Sus scrofa: one gene and its partners. The protein of the gene in region 3 purifies or fractionates together with the protein of the main gene of each other region. This does not show direct contact. Links are inferred from orthologs where the notes say so. Each region holds a gene or a part of one and is shown on either strand. Other genes may lie near its edges. The genes, in order: ENDOG, NUDC, DNAJA2 and PLD2.

Region 1 (7,024 bases), on a different chromosome or scaffold from region 3:
CTGGCTTGGGAACTTCTGCAAGCCATGGGTGCAGCCGGAAAAAAAAAAAAAAAACAAGTGAGCTAGGAGTCAAGAATCCTGGGCGCTGCTACCCATCCAGCTGCTCCCAGGCTGGCTGACCCCGGAGACCCCGCCCAGCCCCGCTCCAGGCTCGTTTCCTCGGCTGTCTCCTTAGTGTTCCACCTCCAGGGCAGCCCTCCTCACAGACCCTCACTGGCACCTCTGTCGCAATGGGGACAAGAGGGGACCAGCTCTGAGAGCCTTCAACCTGGGCCCCAACTTCTGAGGACAGCACAGAATGCTGTGCTTGTGGCACCTACTAGGGCAAGGTGCCCTGGCTTCCACTGGGCTCAAAGGTTGGAGACTCATCAGGGAGACAGCCTCCGTCTACTTGTCCCCAAGAGCCCTGCTGGGCCAGGTGCCCTGAGCTTGTCAGCCACAGCCCCCCAGCAGGAAGCCCTGCTCCCCCCCTTGACAGCTACACAGAGGGTCCTCCTGCCCGTTGCCTCCCCCGTCTCCAGACCCCAGGGGGGAAGGTATTGTGATGATCAGCCCCATTTTACAGATGAGGAGACTGAGGAGCAGAGAGGTGAGGCCCTTTCCTGGCAGGGCCTGCAGTGGCCAGCAACAGATCTGCCAGACAAAGCCAGGCCCCACTGAGGGCCCCACGCCCCAAGGGGCTGGGGCCTGGGAGCCGGGACACCCGGGAGCCTCCCAGGCGCCAGCCTGTTGCTGCACTTCTCTTCCAGGAAGCCATCCTCATCTCCCTGGCCGCCCTGCAGCCTGGCCTCACCCAGGCAGGTGCCCGGCCCAGCTGAAGGTTCTGTCGGGCCCAGGATGGCCAGGGAGCAGCAGTGGAGCCAGAGGGTCCCACAGGTCACCCGGAACAGACACAGCTAAGACTTGTCTCCAAAAATAAATACCTTTCATTCAACCTGGTCCCCAGGACCCCACAGTCTGGCTGGGGCGGCCCTTATTTGCTGCCGGCAGTGATGGCCTTAAGGCTGCTCGTCCGGGCCAGGATATTCGGCACAAAGAGCAGCCCCGAGGCCCGCTCGATGCTCTCGATGGGCACCAGGAAGCGCTCCAGCGGGATGGCCTCATCCACGGGCGCGTTGGGCATCACATAGGAGCGGAGTTCGATCTGCCCGCCTGCTGCCTCCAGGATCAGCACCTTGAAGAAGTGGGTGGGCACCGCCACGTGGTTCTTGCCAATGACCTGGTACTTCACATAGGACTTCCCGTCAGCCTCTGTCCTGTGGGCAGACCCAGACATACATGGCCTTTCAGCGCTCCCAGGGAGCTTGGTCTGACCAAGGGCCTCCACCTCCAGGAAGCCTTCCCTGACTGGACCTGCAGGACCGCCCCTACAGAGTGAGGCTTCTTGGCCCCGGGCTTGGCTCCCCCAGGAGGCTGGGTGCTTCCTGCTGGGTAGACGTGCTTCTTCTCCTGCTTCCCTCACACCCAGCACTGGGTCAGCCAGAGTGTGTGGTGACAATAAACACTGCAGAAAGAAACATCCACATTCATCCGTGTGGACACCTGATGATTGACCGTCTCTTCTGGTGGCGAGTGAGCGCCAAGGGAGCAGAGCTGTGACGGCTGAATCCCTGGCACCAGCAGAGGCCTGGGGCATGACAGGTGCCCGGAATGTGGGATGGGCAACTTCAGGCTGACCCTCCCCAGAGTCTGCTCCATGACCATGGACCAGGGGAGGCCCTGGCTCATTAAAGAGGATCTGTGCCCCAGCCACCGCCTCAGCAAGCCCACGGTGAGCCTTCCTGAGGTGGCATCCTCCCTCCCTTAAAGTGGGTGACACCCACTTTGTCCCTTAAACACCTGCTATGTAGGTAGCAGGCATTATCCCCATCTTACAGGAGAGAAGGTGGAGGTCACCTGTCCAGGGCACCCAGAGACCAGGTGGCAGGGCCCAGAGTCCATCCCAGGCACAGCCAGCTGCTTGGCCACAACCTCTCGCCTCACTGGTCCCAAGCCCTCAGCAGGCCAGAAAAGTCACCGAGCGAGCCCAGAGGAGCTTGGTCCCTTCTACCTGGGGGAGGCTGGGCTGTGGGGGGACAAGGGTTAGGGACATGGAGTTCAAAGCCGGGCTCCAGGGGAAGCGAGGGGCGGGGGGGGGGTTGCTCCAAGCAGAGGAGAGTGAAGGTGAGCGCCTCTCGCAAGGGTTTCAGTCTGGGCAGGACACAGTTGAGTGGATGGGACCACTGAAGACCCAGAAAGGAGCAGGGGCAGATTTGGGGCCTGGTGCCCAGGGGCAGAGGACACGGGGTCTAGGTGGGTAGGTGGGTTTGGCCTCCGACCTTGGAGTACAACTGGGAGGGCCTGAGGCAGGGAGGGGCAGACATGCTGAGAAGCCAAATGATTTCTTTAGGGCTGCACCTGCAGCCTATGGAGGTTCCCAGGCTAGGGGTCAACTTGTAGCTGTAGCTGCCGGCCTATGCCACAGCCACACCAGATCCTTAACCCACTGAGTGAGGCCAGGAATTGAACCCACATCTTCATGGATACTAGTCGGTTTGGAACCTGCTGAGTGACAATGGGAACTCCCAACACAGATCCTTTAACCCCCTGCACTGGGCTGGGGATTGAACCTGTGCCTCCACAGCAACCCAAGCCACTGCAGTCAGTCCTAACTCACTGTGCCACAGCGGGAACTCCACGAGACCTGGTGGTGTGGATAAAAAGCCTGGGGGCATCAGGAAGGGATGAGTGGGCAGTGCTGGTGTCCCCAGGTCTAACCTTACCTGGGCAGGAAGAGCGGCCCTGTGCAGACATAGACATTTTGATAGGTGCGGGTCAGGCTGCGGCTGTACTTTTCCAGGTTGTTCCAGGCATTCTGGTTGAGGTGTGGCACCTGGCAGGAGAGGTGGGCCTCAGTGAGACTGGCCGGGACACTTGCAAGGCTGTCAGAGGGCTGCTCCAGGCCCTGAGGGTGGGGCATTGGCACCAAGCCAGAAGATTCCAGGGTGGGGGGGGCAGGGGAGAGGTGAGGACAAGCAGAGGAAACAGATTCATGGATGGAAAGACACCTGGGCCACATGGTCATGAGGGTGGAGCCCAGGTAGAGCTCGAGGGGTTGCCAGCATAACCCCATCTAGAAGGGCCGAACAAGCATCCCAGGACTCACAAATGTCTCTTGGCTCCAAAGAGCCATATGAAGGAAAGGGGCAGATCTTCCAGAAATAGGCCGGCCCCGCCCCCAGGGCCTCATGGGAAGACCAGCTCTCTGGGCACCTCTCCTTGCCTTTTCCCTCAACTGATCCACAGGCAGAGCCCAGCCGGGAAGGTCATGAGTCTGCTCCAGAACCTGAACCCTCTGGTCCTCAGACAGTGTCTAATCAAACCGGGAGGGCACAGTGCTCCTGAGAGGTCACAAGTCAGGTCAGAGGCTACAGCTGACCCTACAGCTTCATCAGAGCCTGACATCCGTCCTCACATGCGTGTCAGGCCAGGATGGGAACACGGCTAGAGGTGGGCAGCTAGTCCAGGGTGCACAGTGACTGTTACGAACACCCAGTGCCTGCAGGGATCTTTGCTGTCACTCCTGGAAGGAAGGCAGATAGGACAATGGATGAAAGCTCAGGTTCCTCTAGACAGACTGCCTGGGTCTCCTCCCTCATGTGACACTGGGCCGGTCACTCGGTGTCTGAGACTCGCTTTCCTCATGATAGCTGGTACTGACCGCTTGCCATGGGCCAGGAAGCGTGCTCAGTACTTTTCTGTACCTGAATGGTGTTTTCAGTTCCTCAGCGCTACTGCAAGGGGTAGGTGAGTAACCGTTTTATCCCCATTTTACAGACAAGGAAACTGAAGATCTGGGAGGCCCCCGGGGGTTAAGATCAGAGTGCAGAGTGGATGCTCAGCGCCCCATCCCTCGGTCCCTCCCGCCTGCGGCGCGGTGTGACTCGCCAGGCGCCTGACCTAGGCGCACCCTCGGCAGCTTTCCCGCTTTGCAGAGAGCCTGAGGCTCGAAGGCGCGCAGTGGGTGGCCTCGCCTTCCGCCGCAGGGGCGAGGGGCCCAGGCGCTACCTGGGGCGCGACGTTGCTTAGGTAGAAGGTGTCGTCCATGGCCCTCTGGCTCCAGCGGTGGTTGGCGGCGGCGGCGAGGTGGCCGCGGTCGAAGCCGCTGCCGCGGTAGTCGGCGTTGGTGGCGCGGTGGTACGCATGCACTGAGTCGTCCTCATGGAAGTCACAAGAGCGGCGGTCGCCGTCGCCTCGGAGCCGCTCGGGCCGCAGCTGCTCGACCACCCACACGGCGCCGCGGGTGCGCGGGTCGTAACACAGCACATAAGACTCGCGGCTCTTCAGCTGCGCTACCCCAGGCAGCCCGTACTTGGCGAGCTCGCCGGGCCCGCCGCCCGCCGGGGCCCCGGGCACGGCGGGAAGCCCGGCCGCCGCCGCCACGGGCAGCACGGGGAGCCGGCTTAGCAAACCGGGCGCCTCCCGTGCGTCCCACCGCTGCCGCCGCCAGCCCTCGGCGGCTGCACCCAGCCCGGCGCCCAGCGCTAGGGTTAAACCCGCCCGCAGTAACTTCATGGCCGTGGATTCTGGCCTGAGCTGTGGAGGGCACTCGGCCCGCAGCTCCGAAAGAACGCCGCGACCTCCGGCGTCAGACCCGCGAGTTCTTAAAGGAGCCGCGCAGGCCTTCGGGGCCCACCGCGGGGACTGCGCCGGGTGGAGGCACTGGACGGCGGAACGTAGGCCCCGCCCACTCAAAGCCCGCCCCAAAGTGCAAAGGACTCCAACAGTGGGGGTCTGGAGCGGCCCTACGGGACCTCCCCGTGCCTTTTGCCCTTTTAAGAGGGAGCCCTGAGAGGGCGTGGCATCGCCGCTTCGACTCGTGACTGGCCGCTCCAGGGCTGGCTCCGCCCCGCCCCACCTCTTCTGCGTCAGTGCCGAGGTCCTACTTCAAGAGCTCCAGAGACCTGTCAAGCACTAGTCTACACTGCCTGTATTATGACTCGATTTAATCAAGAGCGCCGAGGGAGAACAAGGACAAGACTCCAGGTCTGAACGACACTGGAGTCTATGCTCCTAACCATTACATCGTAAGATAAGGCAAAAAATTTCTAGGAGATTAGCAAAGATTTTTTTTTTTTTTTTTTTTTTTGTCTTTTTGCTATTTTTCTTGGGCCACTTCCTTGGCATATGGACGTTCCCAGGCTAGGGGTCTAATCGGAGCTGTAGCCGCTGGCCTACGCCGGAGCCACAGCAACGCGGGATCCGAGCCGCGTCTGCAACCTACACCACAGCTCACGGCAACGCCGGATCGTTAACCCACTGAGCAGGGGCAGGGATCGAACCCGCAACCTCATGGTTCCTAGTCGGATTCGTTAACCGCTGCGCCACGACGGGAACTCCAGCAAAGATTTTAACACCCAGCGTGAGGACCGCGATGCATGCAGGTGGTATTACAAACTGCTGGCTGGATTCCGGAAGGCAGCTTGGCAGTCTGCATGAAAACCGTAAAAAGGTTCATACCTTCTAACTCACTTAGAGGACTGAGCTGGGGGAATAAACCTCGAATGCAATGATTTCAAACATGAACACTCCCCACAGTACTACTCATAATAGAGGCTGGGGAATAAGCAAAATAGTCAGACATAGGAACTGGTTTCAGACATTTTTAGCATATTAAAATAGTATATAGTGCATTAAAATATTTTAAAATCATACAGCAACTTGCTCAGCACCTAACCTGAGGGGTGAGACAATACACAAGAAAATGAGGAAGGTGACAATTACACACAAAAATCTACCTCTGGGAAGAAGACTAACATGTTATCAGTGATTTTCTCCAGACTACGGGTTATCAAAGACTTGATTGCTGCTGTAGTGCAGGTTCAACCCCTGGCCCAGGAACTTCCGCATGCCGAAGGTTTCGGCAAATTAACAGATAAGTAACTTGCTACGATCACAACATAACACCTTCTGCCCCAGTACAGCCTCCTCTCCCCCAGCTACAAACTGCAGTTATTAAAGAAGAGTGGCTCATGCTCTTCCAACAAAAATTTCCTAGCCTTTTCTTCTGCCTACTCTAAAGGCTTTTTTTGTTTTTGTTTGTCTTTTTAGGGCCACACCCATGACATGTGGAGGTTCCCAGGCTAGGGGTCTAGTCAGAGCTGTTGCCGCTGACCTGCGCCACTGCCACAGCAACGCCAGATCTGAGCCGCGTCTGCAACCTACACCACAGCTCACGGCAATGCTGGATCCTTAACCCACTGAGCGAGGCCAGGGATTGAACCCGCAACCTCATGGTTCCTAGTCGGATTTGTTTCCCCTGTGCCACGATGGGAACTCCTCTGAAAGCCTCTTGACGTCATCCCTGCTCAACTGTTTTTTCCAGCTCCAAGGTCTCAAAGGTTTCCAGCCCATCCCAGAACCAACGCCCACTGCAAAGAACACATGATTTATTAAAGACAACTTGTCATCAACAGCACTGATTCAAAGAACAAAACAAATGAAAAAACAAAAGCAGACTAACATTCTAACCCTTGGAGTGAGACCAGCTGAACTCAAACAGCCATTCTGTAAGTATCCAAAGTCCTGGGGGCAGCTTCCCGAGCAGGAAGCCCGGGGGTCTCTGGCTCTCTGGGGACCTCCCTTGAGTCTAGGGAGGGGGAATTGCCAAGGGCAGTTTTTTCCCTTGGGCAGTATCCCACTGGGGAGCTCAGCCTAAACTGGACATGGTCCCTGTGCTCTTCTGACCTTCATCACAAGATCAAAGACAGGGCAGGGGACCCAGGTCCTGCCGCTTAGACAAATTAGATGCAGTGATTCAAGTAGTAGGGCCCCGGGAGGGAAGGCAGAGGGACGGGCAAGAGGGAATGCATCAGGTGTCCTGGGCAGTGTCTGCTGGGCCCCAGGCTGTGAAGGGATCAAGTTGGGGCTGAACCACCAGCAACAAGTTCTGGGAAAAGGGTGAGCCAGGCTGCTGGGCAGCCGTGTCTCTGCCCCGAGCCGGGGTCTTGGGCTCTGGCAAGGATCCCAGCTGTTGTCTCCCTCA
Region 2 (7,340 bases), about 47 Mb from region 3:
ATTGCACTTTTTTTTCCCAAATCTACTTCTTTTCAATAGACTTTAGATGTCATTAAGTCTCTTTGGCTACACATTTCCTGTGTTTGAAGAGGCCAACAGCTACCTTTTCTCCTTCAGCTTCCAGATTTTTTTTTTCTTTTTTTTGGTCTTTTTGCCTTTTCTTGAGCCACTCCCACAGCATATGGAGATTCCCAGGCTAGGGGTCAAATCGGAGCCGTAGCCACCGGCCTACGCCAGAGCCACAGCAATCCCAGATCCTTAACCCACTGAGCAAGGTCAGGGATCGAACCCACAACCTCACGGTTCCTAGTCGGATTCATTAACCACTGCACTACGACAGGAACTCCATATAGCTTCCAGATTTCTATCCTTGCCAGGCCTCCTCCACAGAAGACTATACTTAGTTTCCTAGCTTTCCTCAAGAGGTTCTTTTGAGCTGCAATATATTTTTAGATATGAGTAAAACAGATGCTACATTTTTTATAGATAAATAGCCAGTAGTAGCAGCACAACTTATTAAATCATCCTTTGCCTACTGAACTGAATTACCTTACTGGACCCATCTTAAATCCTCATACGTGCAAGACCTTTTTGGGTTCTCTATTCTGCTTCGTTAGTCCATTTGTCTTTTCTCTGTCAGTAACATACTGATGTGATCATTATGACTTTATTCCAATCCATAATTCCTAGCCCCAGACTATAAAAACTAAATGTGCGTTTGTATTTCTCTAAGTTTGTAGCGTGAAGATATTTACAGTCTTCATTATCTCCCACATGGTATAAATATTGATACATATTTCTCTGCGGAAATATTCAAGTTTCATTCCAGGATGCCGCTCCTGACCCCCAGACTGGGGTCCTGCATGTGATGGACAGTATATACTCCGTATGGCCTCCAAAGAGCCAAAGAATTCTATGTCTCAAAATGCTCCTGACCCCAAGAGGTCTGAAAAAGGGACTGTGAACTTGTATTCGCATATGCCAGCCACACTATATTACCTCCTTATATCCTCACAACAGCTCCGTGAGGGAAAGAGCATCCCTGTCTTATAGAAAACCAAGTGAATCGGGAAGTGATTCACCCAACGCTACACAGCTGCCAAGCAGGGAGAGGGGACACCTAGCTCCAGAGCCGAGCTCTTAACCCAAGGACTTGAAAGTGATGTTATCTGGCAGCCCTGCGCACAGTAGGTGCTCAACATAAAGGTGTTAGCGTGTTACCACTGGAGACCAGGTGAGAAGGGTGGACAGGATTCTGCCTGCCTGAGGGTCTGACCAACCTCCTGGGGAAGAGGTGACTCTAAGGAGCACAGCAGGGAGGGTCTAAGAGGGACCAGCAAACATCCAATACGTGGCAGCTACCGTCATCCCTGGGATACTTCTGAGATGTAACGTCTGGATATTGTTCACCTCTCTCCCTTCTGCCTGCTGTCTTACTCAGCCTTCGTACCGCAGGCACCTCTTCCTCAGGAAGTTTTCCTGGAGCCCCCATTTTATGCTCCCAGAACTTGTGCCCTAACACCCATCACTTCTTCACTGTCACACACACACACACACACACACACACACACACAAAACCCAAATCACTTTACCGTATACCTGAAACGAACACAACATTATAAATCAACTAGACTTCGGTTAAAAAAAACAAAAACAAAAAAACCCCCTGCAATTCTCAAATCCTTGAACTTTGGGTCACAAGCATCTGGCAAGACTAGGATTGGTAGGTTTTGATTTTTCCGACATCTGTTTTTCTAAGCTCAGTGTTTTACATTTGCCTGCTCTCATCTCCCAGCTAGGTAATTAGATAAAACCTCCACAGTAGAAAAGAAACCAAGAAGCGTGATGCCAGGGCCAGAAGGCAGTTTTACAACAGACTCTGGTTCCAACCTGTCTCTCATAACTCGGAGCAACGTTCTCCTTTGTAAACGGAGATAGTAACAGCTGCCCCTCTCAAACTGCTAAAGGACCATGGAAAGCAGGGTAGATAAAGCACTTGGCAAGGAAAGGGACTTCAATAAATGACAGTAAATGCTTTCCTTCCCCAACTCTTGCCCTTGGCGTGTTAACTTCTGCGAAAGGTTATTATTATGCCAAAGGAAGGCCAGGTAAGCTCGCCAACACTCACCTTCTCTGCCATCCCCTCTTCTCCTCCAACAAAAAAGTCTGTTTTGCGACGAAGGAAGCTGAAGAAAGTGTTCACAAGCTGAAAGACAGAAGGCAAAAGACTGAAGCTGTAGAGGTGCCATACAGGGAGCCCCTTAACCACACACAAGCAACCTCCTTCACCTAGGAAGGAACTTGGGACTGGACCATTTCAACCCTGAGCCTCCCAACTGGGAAAACATCCCCCCCAACAGCCCTGCCTTAGTTACTTCTGCCAGGAAGCCTAACCTAACCTGATCTAGAGCAACAGAAAGGGAGAATTCTCATTTCTTGTGTATATGCATATGTGTATTTCACATTTTTTGTGATGCTAGAAGCAGCCTGAGGATATGGGGCACTGCATCCAGGTTTGAAATGCCTGGGGCCTAGCTTTCCTCTCCATGTAGCAAAAAGCCCATCCAGAGTGGCGCTGGCTGAGTTACTAGGGCAGAGCTGGAAGGAGAGAACAAAGAAGGCCACTTCAAAGAAGGTTAAGACCCACTAACTCTGGTGTTTTTTTCTTTGAGGGGAGGAGGGAGGTTAGCTACAGAAGCTCCTGGGGCCAGGGATCAAAATCAAGCCACAGCATGGACAACACTGGATCCATAACCACCAGGCCACCAGGGAACTCCAAAACCAGCTAACTCTGGCTGGGTGCATCAGTGCAGTCAAGTTGTTAAGTGCGTCGGTTTGGGAGTTCCCGTTGTGGCTCAGTGCTTATGAACGCAACTAATATTCATGAGGACATGGGTTCGATCCCTGGCCTTGCTCAGTGGGGTAAAGATCGAGCGTTGCAGTGGGCTGTGGTGCAGGTCACAGACATGGCTTGGATCTGGCGTTGCTATGACTGTGGCATAGGCTGGCAGCTGCAGCTCTGATTCAAACCCTAGCCTGTGAACTTCCATATGCCATGGGTGTGGCCCTAAAAAGGAAAAAAAAAAAGAGCATCGTTTTGGCCATTAGATTGATATACATTAGCTCTGTGACCTGGGGACAGTGTCTTAACTCTATGAAACAGAAATAGCAGCAGGACCAATTTCTAGGGATACACGTGAGGATCCTTGAGAGGACCAAAGGAAGACATGCAGGTGAGGTCCTTAATAGCGTCTGGCTAAAGAACCTCGGCCACAGAGAGAGCTCCTCACAAGTAGGCACCATGAACCATGACTCTGTGTACATCCCCAAGGCCTGGCACCAGACCTGGCTCAGAGTGCATGCTCAGAAAACTTTTGCTGAGCAAAAAGATCTAGTGATGACTGAGGGTTGGCACATATAAATAAGCCCTTTTATTTGCCCAAGTGAGAGGTTCTAAATCTGACGCTAGAATTTATCTCAACAGTTTCAATTCCTGCTTCTGGACACTTTTTCAATTCACTCAAAAATGAACTCACTTCCAAATCCAGGTGCAACAACAATTTAGGGGGGTAGGAGAAGGGAGACTTTCACATCTGCAAATTAGTAGCACTCTTCCCACAGGGACCTGAATGAGAATGGGAATGGAAGGCTCCAATGAGACACAGAATCAACAATGGACTGTGGAAAGCACACACTGGCCTAAGGATTCTGGTCCCCTCTAAGCCAGGAGCCTGTTGGATGAGCTTGGGCAAGCTCCTTCAGTTTCTTTAAAGAAAGACTAATCTTGATAGGTTTTGCTACGTTTAACTTTCCATCGTCCAAAAAACCAACTCCAGAATCTTTACTAGTTGGTCCTTATCCTTTTCCTACACATGTTATTGGGTTTGGTCACTAAGCATGAATTATGTTCTTGCACACATCAATTACTCAACAAACACTTGTTGAATGTTCGAGTCTGATTACCGAGAATTCTTCACTGTCCTTCACTTCAAGACACTACTCTCCTACAAATTCAGGAAGTAAGGATTCGTAGCTCTGTCTCAAAGAAAGAAACTGAAGCTTGGAGACATGAAACAGTCCAAGTTGTTAGGAAATGCAAAACACGCCTCCTATTCTCTCATTCAAGATCTAGAAAGACCACGTGTTAATATCACCCCCCCCACCCCCACACATCGCATACATTCTTCCGCTCGCCCCAAGTCTTGGTACATGCAAATCTCAATGCCTAGAACATCCTAAAGGATGTTCTTTGGGGGCGGCCACCAGAGGGGAAAAGGGCCGGAAGCAGGTTGGAGACTAAAGAGGGGGAAGGGATTCCAAGACTCGGGCCTTCCCAGGGGCAGATAAAGGGATGCCAGAGCTGTTAAGATGGTAACTACTGAGGGGCCCCAGGGATCCAGAACTGGTCCGAGCGCAAGACTTGCGGCGGGGAGGCCAGACTAGAAGCTGGGGTGCAATGAGAATGCGGGATCCTAAAGCCCGCAAGGCCCAGGGGTGGATCTCGTCTCTCGAAGGCAGCGAAGGGAGGAAAGAGAGTGGCTGGGCCGCCTGGGTGGGCCAGGCCAAGCCAATGCCGAGCGGGTCGTTACCTCCTGCACGCCTCCCTCGTGCTGCTGCGCCATCGCCAACAACATGCCGTCGAAACGATCCTCCTCCTGGTCTCCACCCATCTTGCCAGCTGCTAGCCACGCTCCGAAATCTGAGCTCTGCTCTCGCGTCCCGCGCTCTCGGCGCCTTCGGGTCGCGTCCGGTGCAACGGTTTCAGTCCTCCGCCTTCCGCAGCGGAGACGGAAACACGCACGCGCCCCGCTGCCTTGGCCCGCCCGCCTGCTCTCTCCTCCCGCCTCCCTTGTGGCCAGCGGCCATTGACCGTGCGGCAAGCAGCCCGCTTCACTGACCATTGGTCGACTTGCTGAGCCAATCAAAGAGCGCGTCCGTGAGCGGTGGGCGGAGTCGAAGGCCTCTGAGTTTGGTGTGAGTTGCTATGGTCACCAGGAACCTTTTGGAGCCTTCCAGAAAACCCTGGGCTCAAATCACGCGGGCCTGAAAGTTGAAAAAGCACAAACTTTGAATTTACGCCTTGAGAGTGACCGCTGAGCTTGTAGAACGGTAAAGCGTTCTTAATCATCTCTTCCAAGTTTTCCATCGGCCAACTGAGGCCCAGAAAGGAGAAGGGAACTTGCCCCAAAAGACAGCCTACCCCTGTTGTCATCACATACTCCATACAAATTGTGCAGTCGCAGGGGACCCGGACTTAGAAAGTCCCTTGGTGCTGGGGTTAATGCTCTTCTGCTGCAGTCCTGAGACTCTTAATATTTTTTAACAAGAGCCCCACCCCCAACCCCGCATTGTCATTTTGCGCAGTTTCATGCAAATTATGTAATGAGTGCTAAATTCGAACTTCACTTTTGTGCGGGACAGACCCCAGCCATCTAAGGCCAAACCCTCTACTTTTGTATTGAATTTCATCATCTTAGTCTTTTCAGGGATTCTACTCTTACTATCCTTTCCTAATTCTCCTGCATCAGAATTTTTTTTTTTCCCTACTCAATGAATCTGCATCACAATTTTCTTTCTTCTGGATCATCCCTTTTAACTTACAAATATACTTTAATGCCACTTCTTTTTTTATTCTTCTATGACCCCCCCACACAAACTTTTCTCCTCCTACCATTCCAATTTTATTTTTTTATTTTTTATTTTATTTTATTTTTTGTCTTTTTGCCTTTTCTTGAGCCGTTCCTGCGGCACATGGAGTCCAATCAGAGCTATAGCCACCGTCCTACGCCAGAGCTACAGCATCGCAAGATCCAAGCTGCATCTGCGACCCACGCCACAGCTCACTGCAACACCGGATCCTTAACCCACTGAGCAAGGCCAGGGATCGAACCCGCAACCTCATGGTTCCTAGTCAGATTCGTTAAGCACTGAGCTTCGATGGGAACTCCTATCCCAATTTTAAAATCTCTTTGACAGCAAAACTTGAAAAAAATTTGCTATACTTGTTTCTCCACTTCCTCACCTTCCGTCTCTCCTCGATTTACTCTGGTCTTTACTTAAGACTCTGACCAAGGATACAATGACCTACTTATTGCCAAAACCAGTAAAGCACTATTACAGTGCTCAGCTTCTCAGCTGCATTTGACACAGTTGACCTCTTCTTCCTTCTAGAAACAATTTTTTCCCTAGTCTTCTGTTATGGATGGAACTGTATTCCTCCATTATTCTTATATTGAAACCCTAACTCTCTTTGGAATTCCCACCGCGGCTCAGCAGAAACAAATCTGACTAGTTTCTGTGAAGACGCAGGTTTGATCCCTGGCCTCACTCAGTGGGTTAAGGATCCAGTATTGCCATGAGCTGTGGTATAGGTCCCAGATGAGGTTCTGATCCGGAGTTGCTGTAGCTATGGCCTAGGCCGGTGGCTACAGCTCAGATTCGACCCCTAGCCTGAAACCTCCATGTGCCACAATTCTGCCCTAAAGAGCCAAAAAAAAAAAAAAAAAAATTAAGAAGAAACCCTTACTCCCAGTGTGACTGTTTTTTGGAAATAGGGGTATTTAAACATGTAATTAGAGTTAATTCATACAGATGTGGCCCTAATCCAAAATAGTTAGTGTCCTTACTAGAAGAGAAAGAAAACCCAGGGACTCACGAGCAAGCGGAGGAAAGGCCACGTGAGGCAGCTATGTGCAAGCCAAAAAGAGAAGCCTCAGAGGAAAGCAAACCTGCCAACATCTTGATCTTGGACTTCCAGGTTTGGAGAACTGTAATAAAATTAACTACTGTTGTCAAGTCAGTCTGTAATAGTTTGTTATGGCAGCCCTAGCAGACTGACAGAGTTTGCACGTCCTCACACTTACATGGTTTTCTTCCCACTTCACTAACTCTCCTTCTCCGTGTTCTGATCTACCCAGGTTTATAAATGTTGGGGGCTCTGTCCTTTACCCTCTCCTCTTTTCCTCTCTATTTATACTCATGGTACCTCACCCAGACATTTCCTGAGTGCCAGGACCATCTCTTTACCTACCTCCTGGACAGCGCCCCTGGACAACTCCACTTGGATAATTAACAGATATTCCAAAACTCATCCAAGGCTGGTGAATGGATGGTGGAAATGATGGCACATCAATGTGAATGTATTTAATGCCACTGAACTATAAACTTAAAAATGGTTAAAATGGGGAGTTCCCACTGTGGCACAGTGGGTTAAGAATCCAGCTGCAGCGGTTTGGGTTACTGGCCCGGGCACGTCCATATGTCGTGGGTGCAGCCCTAAAATGAAAAAAAAGAAAAAAAGTTAAAATGGTAAATGTACTGTTATGGTTTTTTTTTTTTTT
Region 3 (6,591 bases):
TGTTAAAACTGTCAGGTTCCCACTGTGTCTCAGAGGGTTCAGAACCCAACATAGTCTCCATTAGAACGCAGGTTCCATCCTTGGCCTTGCTCAGTGGGTTAAGGATCTGTGTTGCCACAAGCTTTGGCGCAGATCACAGATGCAGCTCAGATCCAGTGTTGCAGTGGCTCTGGTGTAGGCCTGTCTCTCCAATTTGACCACTAGCCCAGCAACTTCCATATGCTGCCAGTGTAAGTACTGTAGCACTTGCTTTGTGGTATTTGAACTTTCTCAAAATTGTTACATTAAGCTAACTCTTTTATACATTGTAGGCAGTTTAAGAATAAAACATTTAGGGGTCAAAACAATAGCAGAACTTCCAAACAATGGTATATATAGATCTTAGACCAAAGCACTTGGTTGCATATGCCTTTTATATTCCTCCTAAAACCTTTAACCAACCATTTATATGATAGGTAAGTCTTTTCTCCTTTACATGTTACATTTCGATTAGTATATGCAACACTACTATCAAGAGGCCAGAAAAATCTTCATTTCAGTAAACACAGCAAAGGAAAGAAAAATGTGGGTAATGGTCTAGCGAAGCTGGCACTCTCCACCAGTGAGGCTCAACGGGCACAATCCTCTACAAGGCAATTTAGTTGCATTTATCAGCCTCAAAACAGTAAGGCCTGCCCAAGAATCACTACCAAGGAGACAAAGCTGTATATAAAGATATAGCACTACTTATTATAGAGAAAAACAGGTAACATTCTATAGAAAAGGGAATGAATAAATCATGGTACCAAATATTATAAAGCTACCCAAAATGAAAATGCTGTAATTAATAAAAGGAGAAGTTTGACAAATAACGTTTTACTCCCTCTTACCTACTCAACTGCACAAACTAGATAAACTATTATTAAAAACACTTGAACTTCAGTCTCTGGTATTTGCTCCTAAAACCATTACTGGTTCATGAAAATTAATGAGATAAAACACGTCACAAATTTTGCAAAGTAAAACAGTTATTTTCATATTGGGTTCACAGTCTGAGATCAAGGACAGACACCATTCATATGTTGGCAGGTTAACATCGGGCTCGAAGCCAGCAAGCTCCGTGGAAACCAATTTAGGAGAGTTCACACTGAGGATCAAGTAATGAGTGACTGTAACATGTCAACTAACTAGCCAGCCAGTCCCTCACTCTGTAGTTTTTATATAAAGTTTAAATACTTCAAAGAATTCACAACTGAAATTTTAAAAACAAGCAGCCTCAGAAGCATATACCAAAACTGTCTTCCTATTCTGTAAAAACACCAACCACCCTTCAAGATCTGTTAGCAAAGTGCCAACATCCAAATGGAAGATTTTTTTTCTGATGGAAAGAATATTTTTTGATAGCTTTTCTCTCTTCTACTTGGAAAAAAAAAAAAAGCAATCAGTATTTTTTTTTTAAAAAAGAAAAAAGATATTCACTTGAGTGGATGCATCATGTCTTCTCCTTTTCTTCTGCCATTTCGACTTCTGCTCTGATTGCCCATGAAGCCAAATAATCCCCCACCAAAAATGTGAGAGAAAATATCATCCATGCCACCACCTCCACCGCTACCTTCCCGAAGACCTTGTTCTCCATATCTGTCATATAACTCGCGCTTCTCAGGGTTTGATAGTACTTCATATGCAAAACTTATTTCTTTGAACTATAAAGAAAAAGAGGAAAACAACTGGATTTTTCAAATAGAATACTAAGGAAAGGCTACAAAAATCTAGAAGTTATTTAATTCCAAGAAAAGCTACACGTTACCTTTGGTTTGATTCTGGTCCTATTTACTACCTACTGATGCCCAGAATGTTAGTTATTTCCAATATAAAACCAAAGCACTCTTAACATAAAAAATTAGGCTCTACGGGCATAGATGGACTTTTCTTACAACATTCTCATTTTTTCCAAGAAGGGCAATTTAAGCTTAAAATTTTTTAAGGGGAAACCTCAGGGGAAAAAAGTCTCAAATGACTTACTTTGTCACCAGCATTTGGATTCTTATCAGGATGGTATTCCTTGGCTAACTTTCTGTATGCCTGAAGAAAAGATTGAAAAAAAAAAAACACAAAAAAACAAAAAAACGGTTATAATGTAAAGACCTGATTAAAGATTTGTATTAACTTCATAACCAATTTTCTGAGAAGCAATGTTCAAAATCATAACCTTCTAAAAACATCCTTTATTCATTGGTATTGGTTGGGCACCGAAAGGTCTCAATATTGTTTACTCAAATGTAACAAATCAGAATAGTTATATTGGAAAACAGGTTATAATGAAGCTGGAGACAAACAAACTAAGCCACAGAGAAAAACAAAGTACTGAAAAATTCCATTATTTTCACTATTGTCAAATGTGTTTGACAGCCAGTCACCAGACCAAGAAGACTGCGATAAACTCTAGAAGTACTTGTTAAGCTTTACACCCTGCAAAACATTATTATTATTAGAATTAAGCTAAGGTAAGAATCCCGGCTCATAATGGCTCCTCTAATTGTAACATCAAGACAAAGGCAAGACAAGCTCCTAGGTCATGCTTTTCCTCTGGTGGACTGACCGCAGTGTTACTTAAGTTGCATACATTTGGGTGGCATGAGATATAAAGCACTTAGGCGTTCATTCACAGACACATGAATTATGTAATACAGAATAGCATTTCCGGTAAGGTAACAGGAAGTCCTTTTACTCTCAACTGTACCCATCCCACTGCCTAAGGAGCATTCTCATTTTTCTCAGCTTACAAATCCGGATACTCTAAACCCCGTGAAGATGCTGTGCGGCTTAATCAAATGCCTCACGTGCTCTGAAATCCTGAGATGAAAGATCTCGTAGCATTGCAAAGAACGATAATGAGGCCTGCCGTTTATTTTTAGTCAGCATACACTTAGGTGTTTGGCTGGGACCCACGGCTTCTTCCTGAAGCAGGTACGGATCATTTAGGTTACCTGTCCACAGAACAAAGCACCCAGACACAGACCAATGAGCAAAGCAGGAAGAGAGGAAAAAAATCCTGCGGACCGGCTCCTAGGAAACAGCCCCAAGTACCCGCAGACACCCAGCGGGGGTGGCCTCGACCCTCCGCCAGGCCCCAGATCTGCCCGGAATCGGCTCGGGCACCGACGTCCGCACCCTGGACAACTCCTCACCCGGCGCCGAGATGCGCTGGGCGCCTCGGTCCAACCTGTTTTTCCGGGGTGGTGACCTCGGCGCGGGGAGAGCCAAGCAGGCAGTAGCCTCCCGGGAGAGCCCGGCCTCCGGCGCCCGCCGGGGGAGGGAGGAAGGAAGCATTTTCGTCGTGTTTGCGCAGGGGTGGGTTTTATTTGCTGCATCTGCGGGCGGGCGGGGCCCGCGGCCCAAGGTCAGCTGAGGCCGGAGTGCGCGGCCGCAGCAGGCCGGTCTCGTCGCCGGCCCCCAGCCTGGGCCCGCCGCCGCCGGCTCGCGGGCCGCCCCGCGGCGCGGCCTGGCTGTCCCAGCGGAGCAGGCCTGCGCCCCTCACGCCCTGCCTGGCCGGACCGCTCCCCAGTACCTTTTTCAGCTCGTTCTCGCTTGCGCCGGGCGGGACGCCCAGGATGTCGTACAGCTTCGTGTCGGCCACGTTCGCCATGGCGGCCGGCCGGGCAGCGCTCAGGGAGGAAGGCGGCGGAGCAGGCGGAGCGGAGCCGGGCCCACAGCGGCGGCAGCGACAGCGCAGGCGGTGCGAGACAGCGAGGGGGAAGCGAGGGGGCGGGGCTGAACTTTGGCCCGACGCACGGCGCGCCGTGACGTCACTGCGCGGAGCCCGCCCCGGGCGGTTGTGGGGGTCGTGGGGGCCGAGGGAACCCCGCTTGGTTCTGGCTTCCTCAGAGGCTCTGAGTCGCGGGGCGGGGTCTGGCTTCAAAACCCGGAGAACTAATTCTGCTGGGCGATCTCCAGGACTTCAGCTTTCTCCAAAGGTGTTTAAGGGGGTGCTGGAAGGGTGAAGAGGCCCATGCGGTCCATGGCCGCCCCCTTGATCAGCTTCGAGTACGGCGGTAAAGTTGGAAAGTTGGTCCGTCCCACAGGGGTCGTCCTAACAATCGAGATGTTTCAGGTGGACCCTCTGGATCTGGTTCCTTCTGGTCTTACGATGAAAAACACGTGTGTGTGTGTGTGTGTGTGTGTGTGTGTGTGTGTGTGTGTGTGCCCTGTGTGTTTCATATTAGGGTATTTTCAAACATTCCCCAAAAGAAGTGTATTATTGTCAATTTTGTTTCCTCTGTTACCACCTATACTCCCTGCTTCCAGTGTCTTACGGGAAACCATTTCGTTTATAAATACACCAAGTATATGTCCGACAGATGACCTACATGCAATGAATTCCTTTGTCTAATTCTTAGCCCACGTTTAGATTTTCGCAGTTGTCTCATGTCCTGTCATAATTGGTTTGTGGCATCTAGATCCACAGTTCCCACCCATTGTATCTGGATCAGGTATTTAAATTTTTTACTTGGTAGCTTTAAAATTAACTATCCAGAGATCTAGATGGTAGCAGGCAGCCTGGTTGGGCGCACAGTCATCTGGTGATTGTCCCCGTGATTTATATTCGCCTCAGAAAATGTTTGCTGTGCACCTACCACGTGCTAAGATGTATGGACGCCTGGACTGGGGGAGGGGAATGTTGCAAAATAGTGAACCATAGTACCTGCCTTCAACTCACTAGCAATTTATGGAGGCAGAAGAAATAAGATGTCCTGATCCTTTGGAACCTGAACTGGTAATAAAGACTCCAACATAAGCATCTAGCATCTAGTTTAGGATAATCCCTTCTCCTTGGCGTTCCTCCAGACCTCGTTTGGAGGGCCTTGAATGTCATGCCAAGGAGTTGAAGTTTATCCTGAAAACCCCGGGGAGTAATTGATGTGAAGTCATGATGCTCCTTTCACCTAACTCCCATTTTTGTCAAATCCTATCGAAAATGCAGCTCTTTCAGTGAAGTTTTCCTTGATTCTACACCCTAGTGAACATTGCTGTCTCATTTGTGTTCCCACTACCCTTGGCTAGTGTCTTTTGTGGATAGATCTGATGTAGGATTTGAATGGTATTTTGCTGTGAGTCTGAACTCCATTAAAAGGCTGTAGGTTCCTTAGGGAAAATTCACTCTTCTGTTTTTTGAATGCAAATGGTCTGGTTTGAAAAGTAAAGGCCTCAATAATTTCAATTTGTTCACTTCCTTTTCACATTTTGAGATGTTCATAAAAGGCAGTATAAAGTTTTGAGTTCAGTAAAGGCCTCAATAATTTCAATTCCCCCACTTCCTGTTCACATTTTGAAACATTCATAAGAGGCAGTATAAAGCTGTGGTGGAGTTAGAGTGTGTGGGCTGGTGCCCTGGCTCTGCCATGTATTATCAATGTGACCTTGAGCAAGTTACTAAACTTTTCTGAAGCTGTTTTCTCACCTATAAAATGGGATTCAATAGTATTTATATCATTGGCTGGCTTTGAGGATTAAAAGTTACTACATGCAGAATACTAAAAACAAGCTAAAACCAACTGTTTTTTTTTTTTGCCCATTTGCCTATAAGCTGTCTCCACATCTCTAGTGATTATCTTTATTTAAATTCTTGGATCCCCAAGTGGGATTCATCAACTTCTTCCATGTGGATTACCCCTCAGTCCTTTTTTGTGATCCAGCTCTCCCTGCTTGCCAATTACCATATTCTCTTCTTCCATCAGTTCCTGCTCCACATGAAAATATAAACTGAAAACTTTGTTTTTACTGCAACCTTCACATCATTTATTGTTTTATTTTCATCTTATTTTCTTTTTGTTCGTAGTCAAAAAGAACTGAACTTTTCTATTTGTTTCAGTTTTACTTAATTTTTTTTTTTTTTTTTTTTTTTTTGGCAAGGGTTTTCCCTTGGTTCAATTTTAGCTTCTGTTTTCTCGTGAAGAATACCTGGGTAAATTCCCTCCTTTGCTCTAAGTTATTTTTTTACCTGACTCTGAATCAGTCACCACAGTTCATACTTTTATAGTTTTCATTTATTTACAATATTTTTTCTGTTTCTGAGTGTTAATTGTAGTCAGCATTGTCATTTGCTAATGTTATAGGTCGAGAAGTTATTTCAGAACAGTTCTATGTGCTTCAACTGACACATGCTCTCCTCCCTGTCATCATATATTGAGTCAGTGTTAGTGTGAGCACTCTAACATTTCAGCCACTGACTTTGTGTTTTTAAGGTAGTTCATTTATTTTAGCTCCAGATTTAGCTAATGCCATGAAGGAACGAGACCTTTATCTCATTTCATGTCTTAGGCACCATAAAATGCTGAGTCACAGTGCATCTGTGGGCTGCTCTTGCTAGGCAAATGATTTAAAGTTTGAAGTTGGAGTGATTTCAGATTTCTCCTATACTTATATTATTGTTCAATTTCTTTTTTTTTCTTTTTAATTTAGTATACTTGTGTAGCTGTATGTGGTTGAAATGGGGAGGAGGTGGATTGAGAGTGTATGAACTGTAATATTTTTAAGGCCATTCTTATTGTTCACAACTAACTGAATACAGATCTGTGTAGTCTATTGTAACTAGTTTTGAATGTACAGAGTAGT
Region 4 (7,184 bases), on a different chromosome or scaffold from region 3:
AGTGTTTAATAAATGGCGAATAGATCAGGCAGATTTGAGATCTTTGAGAACAGAGAAGATCAGCGTGGTCAAAGGAGGTTAAAAAGTCACAGGACAAATCAAAACTACTGTGAGGTGCCACCTTACACCGGCCAGAATGGCCATCATCAAAAAAGTCTACAAACAATAGGGAGTTCCCAACGTGGCGCTGCGTAAACGAATCCAACTAGTAACCATGATGTTGCAGGTTCAATCCCTGGCCTCACTCCGTAGTTAAGGATCCAGCATTGCCGTACGCTGTGAAGTAGGCTGGCAGCTGTGGCTCCAATTCAACCCCTTGACTGGAACTTCCATGCGCTGTGGATGCGGCCCTAAAAAAAGAAAAAAAAAAAAAAAAAAAAAAACGAAAAAAAGCTACAAACAATAAAGGCTGGAGAGGGTTTAGAGAAAAGGGAACCCTCTTATACTGTTGGTGGGAACGTAAATTGATGCAACTGCTATGGAAGACAGTGTGAAGCTTCCTCAAAAAACTAAAATAGAACTCAATTCCCCGCGTGGTGCAGTGGAAACAAATCCGACTAGGAACGATGAGGTTGCGGGTTCAATCTCTGGCCTCGCTCAGTGGGTTAGGGGTCTGGTGTTGCCATGAGCTGTGGTGTGGGTGTCAGAAGCGGCTCAGATCTGGTGTTGCTGTGGCTGTGGTGTAGGCTGGCAGCTACAGTTCCAATTAGACCCTTAGCCTGGGAACTTCCATATGCCATGGGTGCAGCCCTAAAAAGACAAAAAAAAAAAAAAAAAAAAGAACTACCATATGATCCAGCAATCTCACTCCTGGGCATCTATCTGGAGAAAATCATGACTTGAAAAGATATATCCACCCCCATGTTCACTGCAGCACTAGTCACAATAGCCAAGACATGGAAGCAACCTAAATGTCCATCATCACCAGAGGAGTGGATAAAGAAGATGTGGTACATATATACAATGAAATATTACTCAGCCATAAAAAATAATGAAATAATGGTGTTTACAGCCAACATGGATGGACCTAGAAATTGTCAACTAACTGAAGTTAGTCAGACAGTGAAAGACAAACATCATATGATTATCACTTATATGTGGAATCTAACAAAAGGATACAAACGAATTTATTTGCAGAACAGAAACAGACTCAAAGACTTTGAAAAACTTATGGTTATCAAAGTGGACAGATGAGGGGAAGGGAGGGCTGGACTGGGGGTTTGTGATGCAAGTGGTCTAAAATTGGGTTGTGATGCTGGCTGTACAACAATAAAGATAATAAAAGTAATTTTTTAAAAAAAGGTCACAGGAGGTCAGAGAGGTCAGAGATGACCAAGGGTGGGGTTCAGAAAGGTCAGCGTGGTTAAAGAGGTCAGGGGTCAGGGAGATTTGAGAAGTCAAAGGGGAAGGTTATTCAGGTCAGAAGGGGTTACAGGAGATAAAAAGGATCCAGGACTCAGAGAACACCAAAGGGCTCCAAAAGGCCACAGAGAAGTTCAGAAAGGATGTCAGTGTCTCACCACCGGGCCAGGGTCCCAGGCCGGGGTGGAGCGTAGCTCTCATGTCGGTGTAGCTGGATGAAGTCTCTGCCGGGGCCCTGGGCCAGCTCAGTGATCTCCTGGGCCCACCACCGTGCCTGCCGGTAGCTACTGCACTTGAGAATCAGGGACCTGGACAATGAGACGGACCACAACCCTCACCCTCCATGGCTCTGGCCAGGCCCCCAATCCCCCCTTTAGCTATTACCTCTTCCCCACCTCCTCCCTTAGTCCCTGCCTGACTCCACAGGAACAGGGCATAGATCTGCCGTATTCCCAGCTGGGTCTCTGGCACTTAATTTTGTGCCAGCCACTCAGGTTTGGTGAATGAATAAATGAAGGAAGGGAGTGCCCTTTCTTTCTTTGTTTCTTTTTTTTCCGCTCTCTCTCTCTCTCTCTTTTTTTTTTTAAGCTTTTGAAGGCCACCAGCCTACACCACAGCCACAGCAATGCCAGATCTGAGCCACGTCTGTGACCTACACTGTAGCTCACGGCAACCCCGGATGCTTAACCCACTAAGTGAGGCCAGGGATCGAACACTCATCCTCATGGATGCCAGTCGGGTTCGGGTTCGTAACTGGCTGAGCCACAATGGAAACTCCCCGAGTGCCCTTTCTTTTACACCAAGAGTCCCTCCTGCAAGCTTACACTGAACCCCCTTTCTCTGGGTCCAGCCTCTAGGAGCAGTCCTGAGTGTCCAGCTAGAACCTTTCTCTGGTTCCGAATCATGGCCTTAGGGCCCCAGGCTGGCTCTTCACTCAGCAGGTTTCTGTCCACACCAGGGGGGGCCATACCTGTGAGAGGTATCGATCCGGACCCCGTGCCGTGCCTCCGTGCTCCTTTTCCCCACCTGCACCTCAAAGCCAGGGTCGAAGAGCTGAACAAAGGAGATGGCGCCGGTCTCGAGGCACATGTACAGCAGGAAGGAGTCCTTCACCACCAGCCACCTGGAGCGGAAGAGCTCCGACCATTCCTCCGTGTTCTTGGGACCCCTTCCACCACCCCCACCCACGGCCCAGCTGCTCTGCTCAGGCCTCACCTCTTGGACCAGCGGTAACAAACTTGGTCTCGGCCACAGCAGGTGAGGCCAGGAACGCGGTGGCCGCCTGAGCGCTTCCGGATCACCCCCTCCCTGCGGGGAAGACCCGGAAGAGATGCTGAATGGGGGGATCCAGACCCCCAGTCTACCCTATTCTCAGGCCAGGAGGGATCCATCCAGAGGCGGCTGGGGAAGGGGTGTCAGACTCACAGTCCTTTGGATCCAAGGTCTGGGATAAAGGACAGCTGGCTGACTTCCAGAAACTCTGTCTGCAGCGGAAGAAAAAGGCTCGGAGGAGACACTCATCGTCAGCCCCTCAAACCCAACCGACCCTGGTCCCCGTCATCCCGTGCCATCTCAAAAGACCCAGCCCCCCAGCCCCTGGACCTCACCATGGCGTGGTAGTTGCGGTAGAAAGACATGGTCAGGAGGCAGTTGAGGTAATTCTCCAGGTATTTCTGAAGTAGGGATGGGAGACAGAGACGGATGGGACCAGGACCATTTGCACCCCAAACGCCTTCCCAGAGGACCTCCTGTCCAGTCCCACCTGTTTGCTGGATGCATGTCTGGTGGAGCCCTCAGGACCTGCTCGGGGTAAAGAGGGCATCTCTCTGGCAGCCACCTCTCGGTCTGGAGAATAGGCAACGGCAAAGCTGTGGAAAGGATGGCGCGATGAGAGTGGGGAGCTGGGTGCCTGGGTCCCTGAAGCCCTGGAGAGGGGGTTCAGGGGGAGGCCTAGAGGCCGGCAGAAGGAATGCCCCCTACCCTGAGAAGGGAGGCAGAAAAAGGTTCAGGAGGCTGCCAAGGGCATTTCGGGCATCCAGCCCAGCTGGGATGTTGGCCCAGAACCATGGACAGGGTGAGCTGAACAGGGAAGGTTTCCTGGTGACCCGGGTCAAAGGAGGGGACCCAGGGGCCAGAGGTGGGGGAGGAAAGTAGCTGGGGAAAAAAAATGGTTGTGGCCTGGGGATGAGGCAGGCAGAAGGCAGTGACGGGGGCTGGGGGCTGGCAGCCCGGGCTGCCCGAGGTGAGGGGCACCTGCCCTTCCCAGGAGGCAGTCTGGTCCCCCCTCACCGAGCCAGTGGGAGCAGACTCATCAAGACTTTGTGTCTCAGGAGGTCCCGATGCAGCTCTTGAAAATGACGGAACTTCTTCTTGGTTGTCCAGGTAAAGTCGCCGTGAGTCAAGCGGACAGAATAGAGGGTGCAGGTTCCCACCTGGGGGGGGGGTGAGGAACTGAATGCTCATTCCCTGGATGGGTGGCAGCCCCCCACTCCGACCAGCCCTCCCCTGCCCCCTCCAGCCACCTTGGATCCACTGGTGTATCTTTCAGTGCCCACCACCTGGGCTATGACAGGGACCCCAGGGGCAAACACCAGGGGGTGCATTTTCAGGGGCTGGAGGTCGTAGATGGCCAGAAAGGGGTGCATCCGGTCAGCTGGCAGGAAAGAAAGCAGAAGAATGTGGACCCCAGGAGGTCTCAGCGCCCTCCTCCTCCTCTCCTCCGGGGCTGTCGTCGGGGTGTACCTGGGTCCTCTCCCTCCCTCAGAGTGTCCATCTCATCCCGCTCCATCTGTAACTGGCTCGAGTCCAGGTCATCCCCAGACGGGAAGAGGCTCTCGGGGGTCGCCGCCATCCTAGGAATACGGGGAAGCTTCGGGAAGGCGATCTGCTCTGCAGAACCCTGTCTCCCATCCCATCTCACGGTCCTCCGTCTCCCGTCGGTCCCTCATTTCCCCCCACCCGGCTCCCGCTGACACCCATCCTCTCCCTGATAATGGCCCATCGGTCTGCAACGCATCTAATCTCCATCCCTTATCTCGATCCTTCATCCAGAATCCCTGAGCTCCGCCTCCAGTCCCCTAACCAGCGTGCCGAGGAACACCCGGCCAGGCCCCGAAGGAAGGCACAGCAGAAGCCAGGGGAGGGACCCCGGGGGTTGCAAAGGGCCCGGAACCGCCGGGATTCCAGCCAGGCCAAGCCAGCTGGAAGAAGGGGTCCAGGCGGGAATGAGGAAGTTACGCGTCCCCGCCCGGGAGGGAAACCCCGAAATCTGAGCATGGGGCTGAGTCCGGAGGCCCCGAAGCCAGGACCCACTCCCGTTCCCGCCCTGTTTCCCGGGCCCGGGACCTCCGCGGCGCCCCCTCCCAGGTCCCCTCACCCGGGCAGCCGGAGCCGGCGAGGGCGCGGCTTCGCAAGCAGAGGGAGCGGTGCAGAGCCGGAGCGGGAACCCACACCCCAGCGGGCCGGGGCGGGGCGGGCGCTCAGGGCCTGCCCCCGGGGGCGGGCCGGCCTCCGGCCTCACCTCCGCGGGATTCTCGTCCGGCCTGTCCCGCCCCCGCCGCCCTCGGCCCGCCCCGGCGTCCTTGCGCGCTACCGGGGACTGGGGGCCGCCCTCTGCGCCTCGGGATCGCGCAGCAGGCTCCGAGCATCCGCGCGGCTCTGTCCACCCGGCTGTCCCGCGCCGTCGATCTGCACGTGCCGGGCCGCAGCCCTGTGGGCGCTCGGCGCTGCGCACCCTCCTCCGCGCGGGCGCGGGCCCCCGGGGTCCCCTCCGGCCGCCCATCCCGCCTGGGCCTCTGGCCGGACTCACTTTGCAGAAGCGACCGGAGAAATGCCCGGGCCGGCCCAGCTGGCATTTGCAGATGGAAGGAATGATGGAAGCCTTGAGGACTGGTGGCCACTAGTTCATTAACGTACCCAAGTTTTCTTTCATTCATTCCTTATTGCACGCTTGCTCTGCGCCAGACACTGGGCGTACAATAGTGAACAAGACTATCACAGCACCTGCTCTTCTGGAACTTACCGAAGAGCAAACAGGAAAACAGGCTATTTTTCAGGTTACAAAAGACAAAATATTTCATTTTTTAAAAAGTAGATTTATCTCTTCTGGATGGAGGAATGGGTTGATGGATATTTCTTGATAGACATTTGGGTTGTATCTAGTTTTTGTCTATATGACTACAGCTGTTATAAACATTCCTGGGTAAGTCTTTGTGTAGATATGTCTTCATTTCTCTTGGGTAAATAGCTAGGAGAGGAGTTGCTGGGTCATGTAATTGTATTTTAACTTTTTAAGAAATGGCGAAACTCATTTGATTCCTAATTGTACACATTTAAAATATAGAGACAGTGAAGAAAGTGTCAAACGAAGACTATTTTTTTTTTTTTCTAGGGCTGTACCCATGACATGTGGAAGTTCCCAGGCTGGGGGTCTAATCAGAACTGTTGCTGTGGGCCTACACCACAGCTGCAGCAACACAGGATCTGAGCCAGGTCTGTGACCTTTGCTGCAGCTCATGGCAATGCTGGATCCTTAACCCACTGAGAGGGGGCCAGGGATTGAACCTGAGTCCCCATGGATACTAGTTGGGTTTGTTACCACTGAGCCACAACTAGGAACTCCAGGGCTATTTTTAAGTCGCCATTAAAAAGCACTTTTTGGAGTTCCTGTCGTGGCGCAGTGGTTAACGAATCCGACTAGGAACCATGAGGTTGCGGGTTCGGTCCCTGCCCTTGCTCAGTGGGTTAAGGATCTGGCATTGCCGTGAACTGTGGTGTAGGTCGCAGATGCGGCTCGGATCCCGAGTTGCTGTGGCTCTGGCATAGGGCGGTGGCTACAGCTCCGATTCGACCCGTAGCCTGGGAATCATCGTATGCCGCGGGAGCGGCCCAAGAAATAGCAAAAAGACAAAATAAATAAATAAATAAGCACTTTTTTTTGGAGTTCCCATTGTGGCACAGTGGTTAACGAATCTGACTGGGAACCATGAGGTTGCAGGTTCGATCTCTGGCCCTGCTTGTGGGGTAAGAATCCGGCATTGCAGTGAGCTGTGGTGTAGGTCGAAGATGCAGCTCAGATGTGGCATTGCTGTGGCTGTGGCATAGGCTGGCCACTACAGCTCTGATTAGACCCTTAGCCTGGGAACTTCCATGTGCCGAGGGAACAGCCCTAGAAAAGGCATAAAAGACATGCCCTCAGTGGCCTGTGGAAGTTCCTGAGCCAGGGGTCGAACCCACACCACGAAGTTACCCAAGCCCCTGCAATGACAATGCCAGATCCTTAACCTGCTGTGTCACAAAAGAACTCCAAAAGAAAATAACTTTTCAAATAAATGAAATATTTTAAAATGGGGGGATTGCCAAACTGTTTTTCAAATGGTTGTTTTGTTTTAAGTTTCCAGAATCTATGTATGCTGGTTCCAGCTGTTAGGCTGCATGATCAATATTTGATATTTTTAATCTTTTTAGTGTTACCCATGCTAATTAGTGTAAAATAGTACCTCGTTGTAGTTAGTGTTTCCCTGATTAATGATTGACCATGTTTTGGGTGCTTATTGACCATTTGTATCTCTTTTGTTAAGTGTTCAATTCTTGCCCCGATTTTTTTTTTTTTTTTGCTTTTTAGGGCCGCACCCTCAACATATGTAAGTTCCCAGGCTAGGGGTCGAATCAGAGCTGCAACTGTCAGCCTATGCCATAGCCACAGCAACACGGGATCCGAGCCGAGTCTGGGACCTGCAGCACGTTTCACGACAATGCTAGATCCTCAAGCCACTGATTGAGGCTAGGGATTGAAATTGAATCCTCATGGATACTAGTCAGAT

Evidence for each region.
Region 1: the proteins of DNAJA2 (region 3) and ENDOG purify together in Homo sapiens (affinity purification with mass spectrometry; 3 studies listed by BioGRID and IntAct, with this or other methods). This does not show direct contact. The link is inferred for Sus scrofa from reciprocal best matches to the Homo sapiens genes DNAJA2 and ENDOG.
Region 2: the proteins of DNAJA2 (region 3) and NUDC purify together in Homo sapiens (affinity purification with mass spectrometry; 4 studies listed by BioGRID and IntAct, with this or other methods). This does not show direct contact. The link is inferred for Sus scrofa from reciprocal best matches to the Homo sapiens genes DNAJA2 and NUDC.
Region 4: the proteins of DNAJA2 (region 3) and PLD2 purify together in Homo sapiens (affinity purification with mass spectrometry; 3 studies listed by BioGRID and IntAct, with this or other methods). This does not show direct contact. The link is inferred for Sus scrofa from reciprocal best matches to the Homo sapiens genes DNAJA2 and PLD2.

Annotation. Positions count from the first base shown.
Region 1 is NC_010443.5:269,151,674-269,158,697, reverse strand, and holds ENDOG (endonuclease G, mitochondrial), read right to left. Parts: upstream 4,744-7,024; 5' UTR 4,555-4,743; coding exon 4,048-4,554; intron 2,873-4,047; coding exon 2,763-2,872; intron 1,526-2,762; exon of another isoform or gene 1,257-1,525; coding exon 974-1,256; 3' UTR 909-973; downstream 1-908. UniProt on the Homo sapiens protein: Endonuclease that preferentially catalyzes the cleavage of double-stranded 5-hydroxymethylcytosine (5hmC)-modified DNA.
Region 2 is NC_010448.4:84,236,133-84,243,472, reverse strand, and holds the start of NUDC (nuclear migration protein nudC), read right to left. Parts: upstream 4,779-7,340; 5' UTR 4,671-4,778; coding exon 4,590-4,670; intron 2,207-4,589; coding exon 2,129-2,206; intron 1-2,128. UniProt on the Homo sapiens protein: Plays a role in neurogenesis and neuronal migration. Necessary for correct formation of mitotic spindles and chromosome separation during mitosis. Necessary for cytokinesis and cell proliferation.
Region 3 is NC_010448.4:37,589,081-37,595,671, reverse strand, and holds part of DNAJA2 (dnaJ homolog subfamily A member 2), read right to left. Parts: 5' UTR 3,626-6,591; coding exon 3,548-3,625; intron 2,062-3,547; coding exon 2,002-2,061; intron 1,683-2,001; coding exon 1,459-1,682; intron 1-1,458. UniProt on the Homo sapiens protein: Co-chaperone of Hsc70. Stimulates ATP hydrolysis and the folding of unfolded proteins mediated by HSPA1A/B (in vitro).
Region 4 is NC_010454.4:52,082,904-52,090,087, forward strand, and holds the start of PLD2 (phospholipase D2), read right to left. Parts: upstream 4,902-7,184; 5' UTR 4,739-4,901; intron 4,215-4,738; 5' UTR 4,214-4,214; coding exon 4,105-4,213; intron 4,016-4,104; coding exon 3,885-4,015; intron 3,795-3,884; coding exon 3,652-3,794; intron 3,231-3,651; coding exon 3,125-3,230; intron 3,036-3,124; coding exon 2,970-3,035; intron 2,847-2,969; coding exon 2,788-2,846; intron 2,671-2,787; coding exon 2,578-2,670; intron 2,486-2,577; coding exon 2,333-2,485; intron 1,671-2,332; coding exon 1,521-1,670; intron 1-1,520.